Linked DNA regions of Oreochromis niloticus. The protein of the gene in region 2 purifies or fractionates together with the protein of the main gene of each other region. This does not show direct contact. Links are inferred from orthologs where the notes say so. Each region holds a gene or a part of one and is shown on either strand. Other genes may lie near its edges.

Region 1 (3,753 bases), on a different chromosome or scaffold from region 2:
TGATGAGTTTTGACACCTCAATGAATCATTAAAGATGTGACTGGACAACAATTAGAATTGTTCCGTTTTTGGGGTTTTTTTTTTTCAAACGTAGCCCTAGTAAGCCGTAAAAGCAGAGATCACATTCACTACTTTGTGATGCACACCCAGACATTATACTCTGAAAACAGGTTAGAAATATGACATAAACTACCCATTTCAGAAAAGAGAAACAAGGGTTACCCCCTCGTAAACATCCAGGTGGGAAACATTTAAAATGAAAAAGACTAAAAAACTGCAAATCAGAACATTATTTAACAACATTTGGTCAGTCCTCTTTCACAGTCAAAGGTCCACAGATCTTAAAGGCCGTGCAACTAGAAATAAAAAATTTGCTTTTGCTGTTACAGGAAAACTATGCCAGGTCAGTTATTACTGATATGAGTCACAAAGGCACCCCACCCCCCCGTTTCTTTTTTTTCTGATTTTCCTCACCTATTTGCTTCTCTGTTTTTGTGACAGTGTCCTACCAAAATGGAAAACTTCACTCTGCTTCAGTGCAGCAAATATTTACAAGTATTGTTCCTCTTAAACGAAAAATATATATAATTCAAGCGCAACCTGAGAAACCACAGGTCAGTGAGCATCACCACATGTGAGGCCCAGCTCTGCAACATTTTTTCTTCTTTCTTTTTTTCAGCCATTGCTATATGTGCCTGATGCCTGGTGGCAAAAAGACTATAGGGCTTAAAGGAAATGCTACACCCCCCACCCTCCTCGCACCATGGACGCTTAACACCTGAGAAAATCTAACACTTTACAGACTGTATTTCATACCACCTCACACCTCTCTTATTTTCCTGTGATACTCTTATCTCTGTCAGACAGAGTCCTCTCCCAGTCATTCACTTTGTTTTAAAGAGTAATTTTATTATAACGTTTCCATTTTACACAGATGGGTTGTTTTCTCTTTCTTTGCGACATAATTTATTTTCTTTCTCTGTTGTGGTTTGTTATTTCTTATTATTTACTGTTAAACTCGTCGTGTAGTGCAATGTTTCTTTTTTATATGGGGTGCAACTTTTATTACTATTTTAGGCTTGCAGAACTTTACTCTGACGGATGCACAGAGTTGAAGCTGTAAATAAATCCAGTGTAATCTAGGTCTGACAGCGCAAACGTTTTGAAACCCATTGAGATCTTATGCCAGGCTGAAGAACTACAAACGGAAGTTTCGTCAGCGAAGAAAAAAACTTTTTATTATTATTTTTTTTTTAAACTTTAATTATGCAAAAGCTCGGTGTCGATGAAATGACGTAAATACAACTAATACATTTATTTTCTTTTTTTGTTTGTTTTTTTGTGTTGTGGTTACATTTATGTATTTGCGTGACTGTCGAATCTATTGTGACCTGCCTGCTGAGGTAGGCTAGCTTCACACAGCAGCAACTGCAGGAGCTTCGCTGGGCAGTGAACACATGTCCGTGAACCGAATTACATAACAGTGGCGCCGAGAGAGGAGGCATAATCAACATGTCTCGTCATAGAAATGTTCGAGGTTACAACTACGATGAAGGTAGATGGCAAAAAGGGTTCCGATTTAAATGCCGCGGCAAGGCCTCAAAGAGCTAAACCAGTTAGCTGTTTACAGCTAAGCTAAAGTTTACAGTTATTCAGTAGCTGTAGCGGCTAATGCTAGGTCGTTTAACTGGCAAGATCACACTGATGTCGTGTCACTTGGCACCTAGCGCAAGATAAATTGTCCCATAACGACAGTAATTACTTATACCCACGCAAACCCAGGATTTTAGGTTAATGTTATAATGACAAATTTTGATGTGAGGTGTGTGTAGCTACTCAATTTACTAATGTTTACTCAGGTTATTGCCAGCTACTTGCCTAGCCTAGCTTGCTAACTATCCAATGTTTTGTTTGTGTCAGTTACACCAGATTCCTTACTTGCTCTTCTTTACATTCACATCTCCCCATGTTGTTAACTTGCGAAATATCTCTGTAAATAAAGCTTAGAGTTTAGCGATTAGAGGAAAATCTCCAGGTTTCCAGTGTGCAGTGGCATTCATAAAGTTGCTGACAAAGCAAAGTCACAGCTGGCATAAAGGGGCTTTACTGCAACTGTGTATACGACTGTTTGTGTGAGGCACAACTAAATGAGCAAAGGTATCCATCTAAGTGTTGTTTTTCTTCTTCTTCTTCTTTTTTCAGACTTTGAAGATGATGACATGTATGGACAGTCTGTGGAGGATGACTACTGTTGCATTTCACCAGCAACAGGTTGGTTAGCATTGATGCATAGTGAAGATGGAGCAAACTAATTTGAATCTGTCTGAAGTTAAGCATACACTGTATTTTCAAATAAATAACTTTTTTTCATTACACTCATTGATAACAATAGTTGCTTGCATTTCCAGTTTAAGTTTGAAAGTATGCAACATTAAGTAGACATCATGTATGATAACGTATAATCTACTATTAAAATTAAATGGTTTTGGCTTATCTAGCAAATCAGTTCATCTACTCGCGTCAAGAAAGACATGCACCAAGGGAAGAGCCTTTAGAGGAGGAAGAATTTGAAGATGAGGCTGTCCCTGTGTCCCCTACTGTCAACCACAACCTCAGCCCTCTTGATCAAGGTAGTATTTTTAAGCACACAACTGTGGCTCAGAATATAAAAATTTCTCAACTTGTTTTTTGTGTTTTCACAATTAAAGGTTCCATGCACCAATTCCTTTTGTCCTTTAAACTTTTGTTTGAAATTGTGCATTTTTTTTTTTTTTACTCTTTGCTTTTTGTATGGATCACAAATCTATTGTGTGTGTCCAATGTTTGCTGTACTCTTTAGCCAAGCTGTATTCCTGTCTGGACCACATGCGGACTGTGCTGGGAGATGCAGTGCCGGACTCAGTCCTGACCCAGGCAGCCATAAAATGTGGATTTGACCCACAGAGGGCACTGGACGCAGTACTGTCTGAAGACACTAAAACCGCTCCAGTTACCAGAAGTACAGCTGAAGAGATTGGTACAGTAGAGCGAGCTAACCAGGACAAAGCGCCACAACCACAAAGAACCAAACAAGAGGCTGTGGCTGACAAAGGTACACCTTGAGTGGGTCAAAATAAAAATGTTTCAGTGATTGAAAACTGTTACCCCTGAGTGATTCAGTGTAGTAACACACCGGGAGGACGTTAATTTGTGGCATTTAAAGGGTTGTATAACAGATTTGGGTTTTCTGTGGAGTTTCATAGCTATGAAAAATTTTTCTGTATAGGTGGGTGTTCCAAGATAAGTATTTCCCATTTCCTCCTCAAACGCAGTCAACATAAGTCACTGCTGCTAGTACTTCTATATAAATATGTGTCATTATTGGGTGTATGGAAGCCTAACAGCCAGTAGTGTTCTTGGTTGATTTCGCACAAATTTGTATAGTGATACAAATGTTTAACAAAGTGCCTTCTTTCTGTCTTTTTTTTTCTCTCTTTTGCTACATGATTGATTTGACTTCTGCTCCCCCTCACCCCTACTCTTCGACAACTGCACTTGGCTTTTGTAAGGTAAGGAGCCTGCTTGTCTGCTTCTCACACAGACACGACATCCAAGGCACATGAAGCCAACACACATGGGCACAAACATGAACATCCACATGTACCTGAACTAAAAGCACCCAGCTTATGTGAACTCTTATCTCAACCAAATGCTGGCAGCTGTGAAAAGCAGGATTTTAGCCTTAAAAACATTAGCCCAGGTGTTAGCAGTGGT
Region 2 (3,753 bases):
CATGGAGAAAGTGTATTTCCTTGGTGAATCCAGCATTTGATGGTGACTTTGTTATTGGAGTTAGCCTCTACTGTTGTTTGCCACATCCCCATTGAGTTCCTAATGAAGGCTCTTAGTGTCCTGCTGATCTTGTATAGTTCTAGGCATTCCAGGATTCATGTGTGGGGCATTGAGTCATAGGCCTTCTTGTGGTCAATCCAGGCAATCCAGTAAACACAATGGTTAGTCTGGTCTTACTGTCTCGGGCGACTGCTCTGTCTACCAAGAGCTGGTGTTTCGCTCCTCTGGTGTTTCTGGCCAGTCGTTGGCTGCTGCACCCATTCTGGGTATTTTACTGTCTATGCATTTACTCTTGGCTTGTAGTTTGGTATCAAAATGCCAAGACTGCAACACCAAAAACACTCAGCTCCCTTTTTCAGTTTGGAACCTCACTATTAACTAGTTGTGTTACTGAGGTTACTGAAAAGTGAAGCCAGTGATGTTTTTGTATATCATGGTTCCATTCATTAAGTATAAAACAGGCAATTGTGACTGACAGTCTCATTCATGCATGCAGTGTCCTCATATTTGCAATCCACCATGTGTCATATGTTAAATAAAAAAAACAAACAAACATACAAACAAAAAAGCCCCTCAAACTCTATTCTACAGAGTGGGTGGGTGACATGACCATGTCACGGCTGCTGTGTTAATCTTTAATACACATTCTGTCTCTTTCATATGTTTTAAGAATTTTTCTTTTACTTTGGTATTACATTTAAATGACATAGAGATTACAGTAGCATCAAAATTGTAACATTTACACACTGTTTTAGCACTAAAACACTAAAAATGTGCAATATAAATGAAGCCTTTAGTATACATCTGTAGTATTCCTTGATGCTTCGATATTAATGTAGTTTTGCTTAAATTTGTGGAAATGGTAAGGTTTACTATAATTACTCGATAGCATAGTGATTAACATACTACAGTGCTGTAGTGTAGTTGTGTCAGGAAGGGCATTCGGCGTAAGACTGCCAAATTAAAACATACAGACAAGGGAGCAGCTCAGATTAGCTTTGACTCTAATTGCCAACATGAAGATGTATATGAATTAAAGGCTTTAACTTTGCTGCATTTGGACAAATGGTAATGCAGCTTGGGAGCCTTAAGAGCTGATATTAGTGTTGGCTCTTATATCGCTGATCCGAGTCAGTACCGAGGTCATCAAAAAGACCAAGAATTCCTATTACTGGCCTGGGTGAGCGTCCGACAGCACTTGAACGCAGCAAGACGCGGTACTGCTTGGGCGTCATGACGTCAGCAGTCGTGCCTTTCCTTCCGTGTTTCCCTGAACTTTGCCGTGAATGTTTACAACCGCGTCTTCCCGCGTTTTGGCAGAACAGCAAGTTAGCGAGCGCCGGCGGCTGTATGTGGCTCATTAGTGAGTGTGGACGATGATTAAAACGGAGAGAGTCCTGCATTTGAAAAGCTGCGTGGGGCGGAAGGTCCGAGTGGTCCGGGAACACTATCTGAGAGAGCGGGTTCCCTGCTGCAGCTCACTGTGTCAGGCCGACTGTGTAAATGGTAAAATCAGCTAAATCTCAAATTCACAAAAACAGCTCTTTGTTTGCTGCTATAGAAGTATCTAACGTTGCTGTTAATGCAATACTGGCAGGTAGTGGTTTGGGGGCGTACACAATCAAATGAGGAAAAATAACTTGTTTTAACACGTAATTTTTATTATATTATATTTTGCTTCACTGTAACATGAATCGTGAAATAGCAAAGTACATACAGTATGACCCAAAGCTAGAATTACCTTGTATGACAGTTAAATGGCAAATCCCACCTGTGCACAGATAAGAGGCAAGGGGTGTTGTGCCAAAAAGTGATTGTCTGCCAAAAACTGATTTCCGGTATTTGCCGAAAACTGATTGCTTGTATTTAAACTGCTATAAATAACTTATTGGTCTATAATATGTGAAACATATGTCAAATGTATCCCTCATCAATGATATCAAGTCATCTTGAGCAACAAACAACATTCCTGTAAGAAGGTAGAAGCCGCAATCAGTTTTTGGCAGTGACTTTTATATAAGCTTTATTTATAATAATAATAATGGATTGGATTTATATAGCGCTTTTCAAGGCACCCAAAGCGCTTTACAATGCCATTATTCATTCACGCTCACATTCATACACTGGTGGAGGCAAGCTACGGTTGTAGCCACAGCTGCCCTGGGGCAGACTGACAGAGGCGAGGCTGCCATATCGCGCCAGAGGGGCACTTAAAATGCACTTAAAAAAATTCCTGTTCACTTTAAAAATGTCTCTTTTAAGAGCAATCTGGCCAAGAGGACAGCTGAAATTGCAATAAAAGCAAAAATAGTTCTGTAAACATATGTTAAGTGACAAAAGGGAGCTGACTGGTTATAATGTAACCAGTTACAAAGATACTTGAGAAACAGGTAATTTTTTAATTTTATATATAACCCCTTTGTAATACCTGTTCACCAAAGTCTATTTAGCAACATATGTTACGATATTACACATAAAAAAACACACGGAAACATTGGAAATCAGTTTTTGGCAGGCAATCACTTTTTGGCACAACAGTGCACCAGTCTGACTTTGTCTAGGTCAGGTGTAAAACCAGTACTTTGTTCTGCCCATACAAGCTACCGATCTGAGACCAATGTTAAATTAATATGCGCTATTCCTCACTGTGAGGAAGAAACTCTTTGATGTAAGAGGCAGTCAGGATGCACTCAAAGATTCCTTCCTGATTTTGTAAAATGTTAGTAAAATGCAGCAAATGAATACATCCAAGAATATACGTTTAGTGAGTTAGTGTTTATTGGTTAAAAAATACATTTGAAGGGATGAAAACAAAAAGCATGTTTTTGTTTTCACTAAATGTATTTGGACTAGTTAATTTTAGCTCAGTGTAAGAATCTTTATTGATCTGTGCTTTATGGTTATGACAGTTCTTCTTTCACTGCTCTCAGTCTTAATCTAAGTGCACATCTTCATATGCATGTAATGCATGGAGTGGAGCTGATGAGAGACAGGTGAATTGGTGTAATATTAATCAAGTTGACACAATCAACAGTACTATCGTAAGTACAATAAAGTGTTCATAGTAGTTGTTAAACCAAATATATTTAGTGAGAGCATGAAAGCAAGAGAGAAAAGCCAACAGGTTTGTAGAGCTTTTTAGTGATGTCCACTCACTTGACCACAGTTTGTTAGAAGCATTCAAAGAAAAGCTTTGGGCATAGCAGGTGTAAAATGCCTCCAGGCTGCCAGCTCTTTTGCTGTTGGTTTCCTTCATGCTATGATCAGCTGGTGATCTGCTGCTGACAGTGGGGATGTAAACGCAGAACAGTGTAGAACTGGACAGATTAGAGCGTTGTCACCAATACCTTGTTTTGCTTTTTGAGTCTGGACTGCATTGATATGTGATCCAAATACTGGATAGGTGCACCTGTAGTGAAGAACAATCACTTAAGCTTGCACATTTGTGCTGCTGTTTAGTGTTTGAGGTGAGAATGATCAGCGCTTTTATGAAATATCAGTCCGAGTTTAAGAGGTTTTATCCTGTGTATATTGACTTCATCTTAATCCAGATCTTCCTTGTGTTTGTAGGTTATACAGCACACTGAAAACATTGTGAGCCACACCTCATGTCTTTGCATTTTGCTTGGAAAATAGAAAATAGGTGCAACAATTTATTGAAATATCTGAAAACTTAAAAAGAAATACATTGTA
Region 3 (3,753 bases), on a different chromosome or scaffold from region 2:
CCAAGACTAGAACAGGGAGGCAGACCTAATAGTGAAGACAGAAGAAACCAAAGCTAGTGAAGGCAGATTAGTTTAAATATAACATATAACATAATTTCCTCTTGAATGAATAAAGTATTTTAATTCCTGGAGTCAACCATGCAAAGCAACACACGAAGAAGAAAGTGCAGGTAGAGGGGATTTAGACATGTGTTAGTGATGATTTGTGGTAGAAAGACAGTAGCAAGAATGAAAGTGAAGGCTTTCATGATGGTATGAGACCTGCTGTGAAGGTGGTCCTGATAAAAAGACAGGAAGCTGAGCTGGAGGTGGAGTTAAACATGCTAAAATTTTCATTGTGAGCCTCCAGGATGGACAAGATTAGAAATGAGTACATCAGAGGAAGAAGTCAGTTTTGGAGCAGTTTGGAGATAAAGCTAAAGAGGCAAAGCTGGGATAGTTTGGACTTGTGCAGAGGAGGGTGTTGAAGATGGAGCTGCCAGGCATGAGGAAAAGAGGACTCTCACAGAGGAGGTTCATGGATGTAGTGAAGGCGGACATGTAGAGGGTTAGTGTGTCAGAGGTGGATGCTAAGGACAAGATGAGATGAAAGCAGGAGGTCTGCTGTGCTGAAAAGACAATTTGAAGGAGATATATGAAAGCTTACATGCAGCATATACTCATATAATATTACACATAATATTGACATTTATTTCTAGTTTGTGAGGCCGCAAATCTACTAATATTGAGCTTAATTCCATTCACAAAAGCCTAGAAAGGACTGAGAATTTTACCTTCTTTAAGTGAAACCTTTCTATCAAATATATTTCAGTGTAACTGAGTGACAAAACATGAATTTTATTATTATTTTTAATGCATAACATAAAACAACATTTAAAGAATGGAATATCCTCATACTAAATACATTTTGCTTTGTGATGTGTTTTCCAAAATTTCCAAATTCCTCCAAAGGAATAAAAAGCAGCTACTGAGTGCTATAAAGGACGAGCTTTCAATATGTCACTAAAGGCATCAAGCCATCACACCGCGCTGGGATTTCAAAATAAAAGACCCTTATCAATAAATTCTACGCCCAACATATCAAAAATAATGAAATACGACACAAATAAAGATTCTGAATGAATTTAAAGGAGTGTAATAAAATACTTATTAATTTGAGATACGCCAATTATTTAAAAAAATATATATTCTAGCCGCTTTTACGTTCACGTGTCTTATGCACTTCCGGGTTAGAGTTAAAAAAACATCGATGGCGGCCACATGCTTGTTGGAACGGTGAACCAGATCAGTATATTATAACAAAAACAGAATGAAGGACACACCGCTGTCCAACTGCGAGCGGGACTTCCTGCTTAAAGCCATCGAAGAGAAAAAGGTGGGTGAGATAATCAGCACGCGCTGTCGTGTGTTTGTGTGTGCGCGCGCGCAGCCTGAGGATGTACATTAGGACATGCATCGGTGTCCTATCCTGGCATCATTGCTCTGTTTTAGAGAGGATTGATGTGTATTATAGTGCCTTACCATAGCACACCTGCAGGCTTTCATCCGTACTCACGTGTCCTGTTTCTGTTCTCTTCCTTCAGCGCCTGGATGGACGGCAGACCTATGACTACAGGAAGATTAAGATCAGCTTTGGGACTGACTATGGGTGCTGCTTTGTGGATCTGGGACAAACCAGGTTAAGTTGCAGCCACATGTTTGCAATCGTGTGTCAAACTGAGCATCTGTGTACACTGAGCTCTGTATTCACTGTACGGCGCCCCGCAGGGTCATGGCGCAGGTGTCGTGCGAGCTGGTGGCTCCTAAAGAAAACCGACCGAATGAAGGAATCATGTTCTTCAACATCGAGCTGTCCCCGATGGCCTCACCGGGATTTGAGCAGGGAAGGTGAGGACGAACCTCACTCTTTGAATTCAGCTCATTCATTTATGTTCACTGGAATATAAAGAAATAAGCATGGTGTGTTTTTTATGGAGTGTAGGGGACATTGTTCCTGAATTTAATGAGATCTGGTGACTGGAAAGCATCCATAATAAGCTTCCATGTTCTGAGGCCGTGGTTCTCAGTTGGATGAGGGTGGAGTATCGACTGGGTTGGGGATGTATGCAGCGGGACACTGATAAAAGGATTGGTGGCACTTTTGTTTTGGTGAGGAGAAAGGTTACCATGAAACGATAGCTGTCCATCTATGTCACCACGAGCTGTGGTTAGTGACTGAAATTGTGGATGCGAGCGACAGACATGAGCTCCTCCAAAGGCAGTGTGTGCTCAGTCGTAGAGACAGGGTGTGGAGCTTGTTCTTTCAGGAGGCACACAGAGTACAGCTGCTAACATAAGGAACTAGCTGAGGTGGCTTGGGCATCTGATCTATGGTGCTCCTGCTCCTGGCTTCTAAGTGAGGTAATTAAGGGTTGATCTACTGTAGCTACCTTAGCTTACCAACAATTCTGATTTACATGGAAATAATATGTAAGAGGACCTCTGTGTTTGGAAAATGATAGCTGGTGAATTATAGATGACCTCTGCAGTTATTGTAAATTACAATAAGTTCCCGAGTAGTGGTCCTCCCCTGGGGCTGACTGGTTCATTTAGACAGACTGCTGGAGCAGAGAGTGTAAATCATCTGTGGGGTTTTCTGTGTTTCCAGACAGTCTGAGCTGTCAGTGAAGCTAAACAGACAGCTGGAGAGATGCCTGAGAAACTCCAAGTGCATCGATACGGAGTCTCTGTGTGTGGTGTCTGGAGAAAAGGTAATGCACACACACACACACGACAGACAGAAAGAAGCTTCATGTATTGATGATGATGATGGTGGTGGTGCTTGCTTGTGGGTTTCTAGGTGTGGCAGATCAGGGTGGATGTTCACACACTGAATAATGATGGAAACCTGATGGATGCCGCCAGCATTGCCGCCATCACTGCTCTGTGCCACTTCAGGCGCCCTGACGTCAGCACCCAGGGACAGGAAGTCACAGTGGTGAGTCAGCAGCACCACAGCAGGTGGTGTCTGAGCTTCCCTGGACCTGCTGGGAGAAAAGTGATGATGTTATTGTTTTCATGAGAATTCTGCTTTATGTTAGCTGTATTTTTTTTTTTTTTTAATTTCTGTCTTCAGTACAGTCCAGAGGAGAGAGACCCTATTCCTCTGAGTATCTACCACATGCCCATCAGCGTCAGCTTCGCCTTCTTCCAACAAGGGTAAAAGATTGCTTCTCACAAGATTTTTTTCTCCTGTTTATCAAAATTTTAATGTCATGTTTACAGGTGCAGCAGGTTTTAGTTAACTCAGTATATTCAGTAGTGTTTATAGAGAGTCACTTCAGACCTCCACCAGAACAAAACTCGTGGAGGGGCAGCCCTCATCAGCCTGCCACGACCAGCTGGGGAGTGAGGGGAAAGCAGGAGACAGAGAGAAGAGAAAAGTATTAGTGGTATACACTCACTGGACACATTGTTAGGTACACCTGTTCAGCAGCTTACTAAGCAGCTCAGTGCATTGAGGCATGAAGACAGTGCCGTGGTTGCTGGTGTTACACGGGCCGGGGTATTTCAGAAACTGTTGATCTTCTGGGACTTTTCCCACATGGAAAAACATCACCTGGTCTGACAGCACCTTGATTTCTGCTGTGACATTTGCATGATAGCGCCTGAATTTGGGGTGAACGATATGAAAGCATGAGTCCACCCTGCCTGTGATGATGTGATAGTGTGAGGGACTTTTTTGGGGGAAACTCTGGATTCCTCCTTGTTTCA

Evidence for each region.
Region 1: the proteins of dis3l (region 2) and hbs1l purify together in Homo sapiens (affinity purification with mass spectrometry; 5 studies listed by BioGRID and IntAct, with this or other methods). This does not show direct contact. The link is inferred for Oreochromis niloticus from reciprocal best matches to the Homo sapiens genes DIS3L and HBS1L.
Region 3: the proteins of dis3l (region 2) and exosc9 purify together in Homo sapiens (affinity purification with mass spectrometry; 3 studies listed by BioGRID and IntAct, with this or other methods). This does not show direct contact. The link is inferred for Oreochromis niloticus from reciprocal best matches to the Homo sapiens genes DIS3L and EXOSC9.

What each region holds. Positions count from the first base shown.
Region 1 is NC_031980.2:8,003,832-8,007,584, forward strand, and holds the start of hbs1l (HBS1-like protein), read left to right. Parts: upstream 1-1,273; 5' UTR 1,274-1,512; coding exon 1,513-1,555; intron 1,556-2,202; coding exon 2,203-2,271; intron 2,272-2,498; coding exon 2,499-2,630; intron 2,631-2,839; coding exon 2,840-3,091; intron 3,092-3,553; coding exon of another isoform or gene 3,554-3,753. UniProt on the Homo sapiens protein: GTPase component of the Pelota-HBS1L complex, a complex that recognizes stalled ribosomes and triggers the No-Go Decay (NGD) pathway.
Region 2 is NC_031965.2:3,303,604-3,307,356, forward strand, and holds the start of dis3l (DIS3-like exonuclease 1), read left to right. Parts: upstream 1-1,291; 5' UTR 1,292-1,436; coding exon 1,437-1,566; intron 1,567-3,753. UniProt on the Homo sapiens protein: Catalytic component of the RNA exosome complex which has 3'->5' exoribonuclease activity and participates in a multitude of cellular RNA processing and degradation events.
Region 3 is NC_031971.2:37,045,204-37,048,956, reverse strand, and holds the start of exosc9 (exosome complex component RRP45), read left to right. Parts: upstream 1-1,215; 5' UTR 1,216-1,309; coding exon 1,310-1,375; intron 1,376-1,583; coding exon 1,584-1,678; intron 1,679-1,767; coding exon 1,768-1,887; intron 1,888-2,647; coding exon 2,648-2,750; intron 2,751-2,839; coding exon 2,840-2,977; intron 2,978-3,115; coding exon 3,116-3,198; intron 3,199-3,753. UniProt on the Homo sapiens protein: Non-catalytic component of the RNA exosome complex which has 3'->5' exoribonuclease activity and participates in a multitude of cellular RNA processing and degradation events.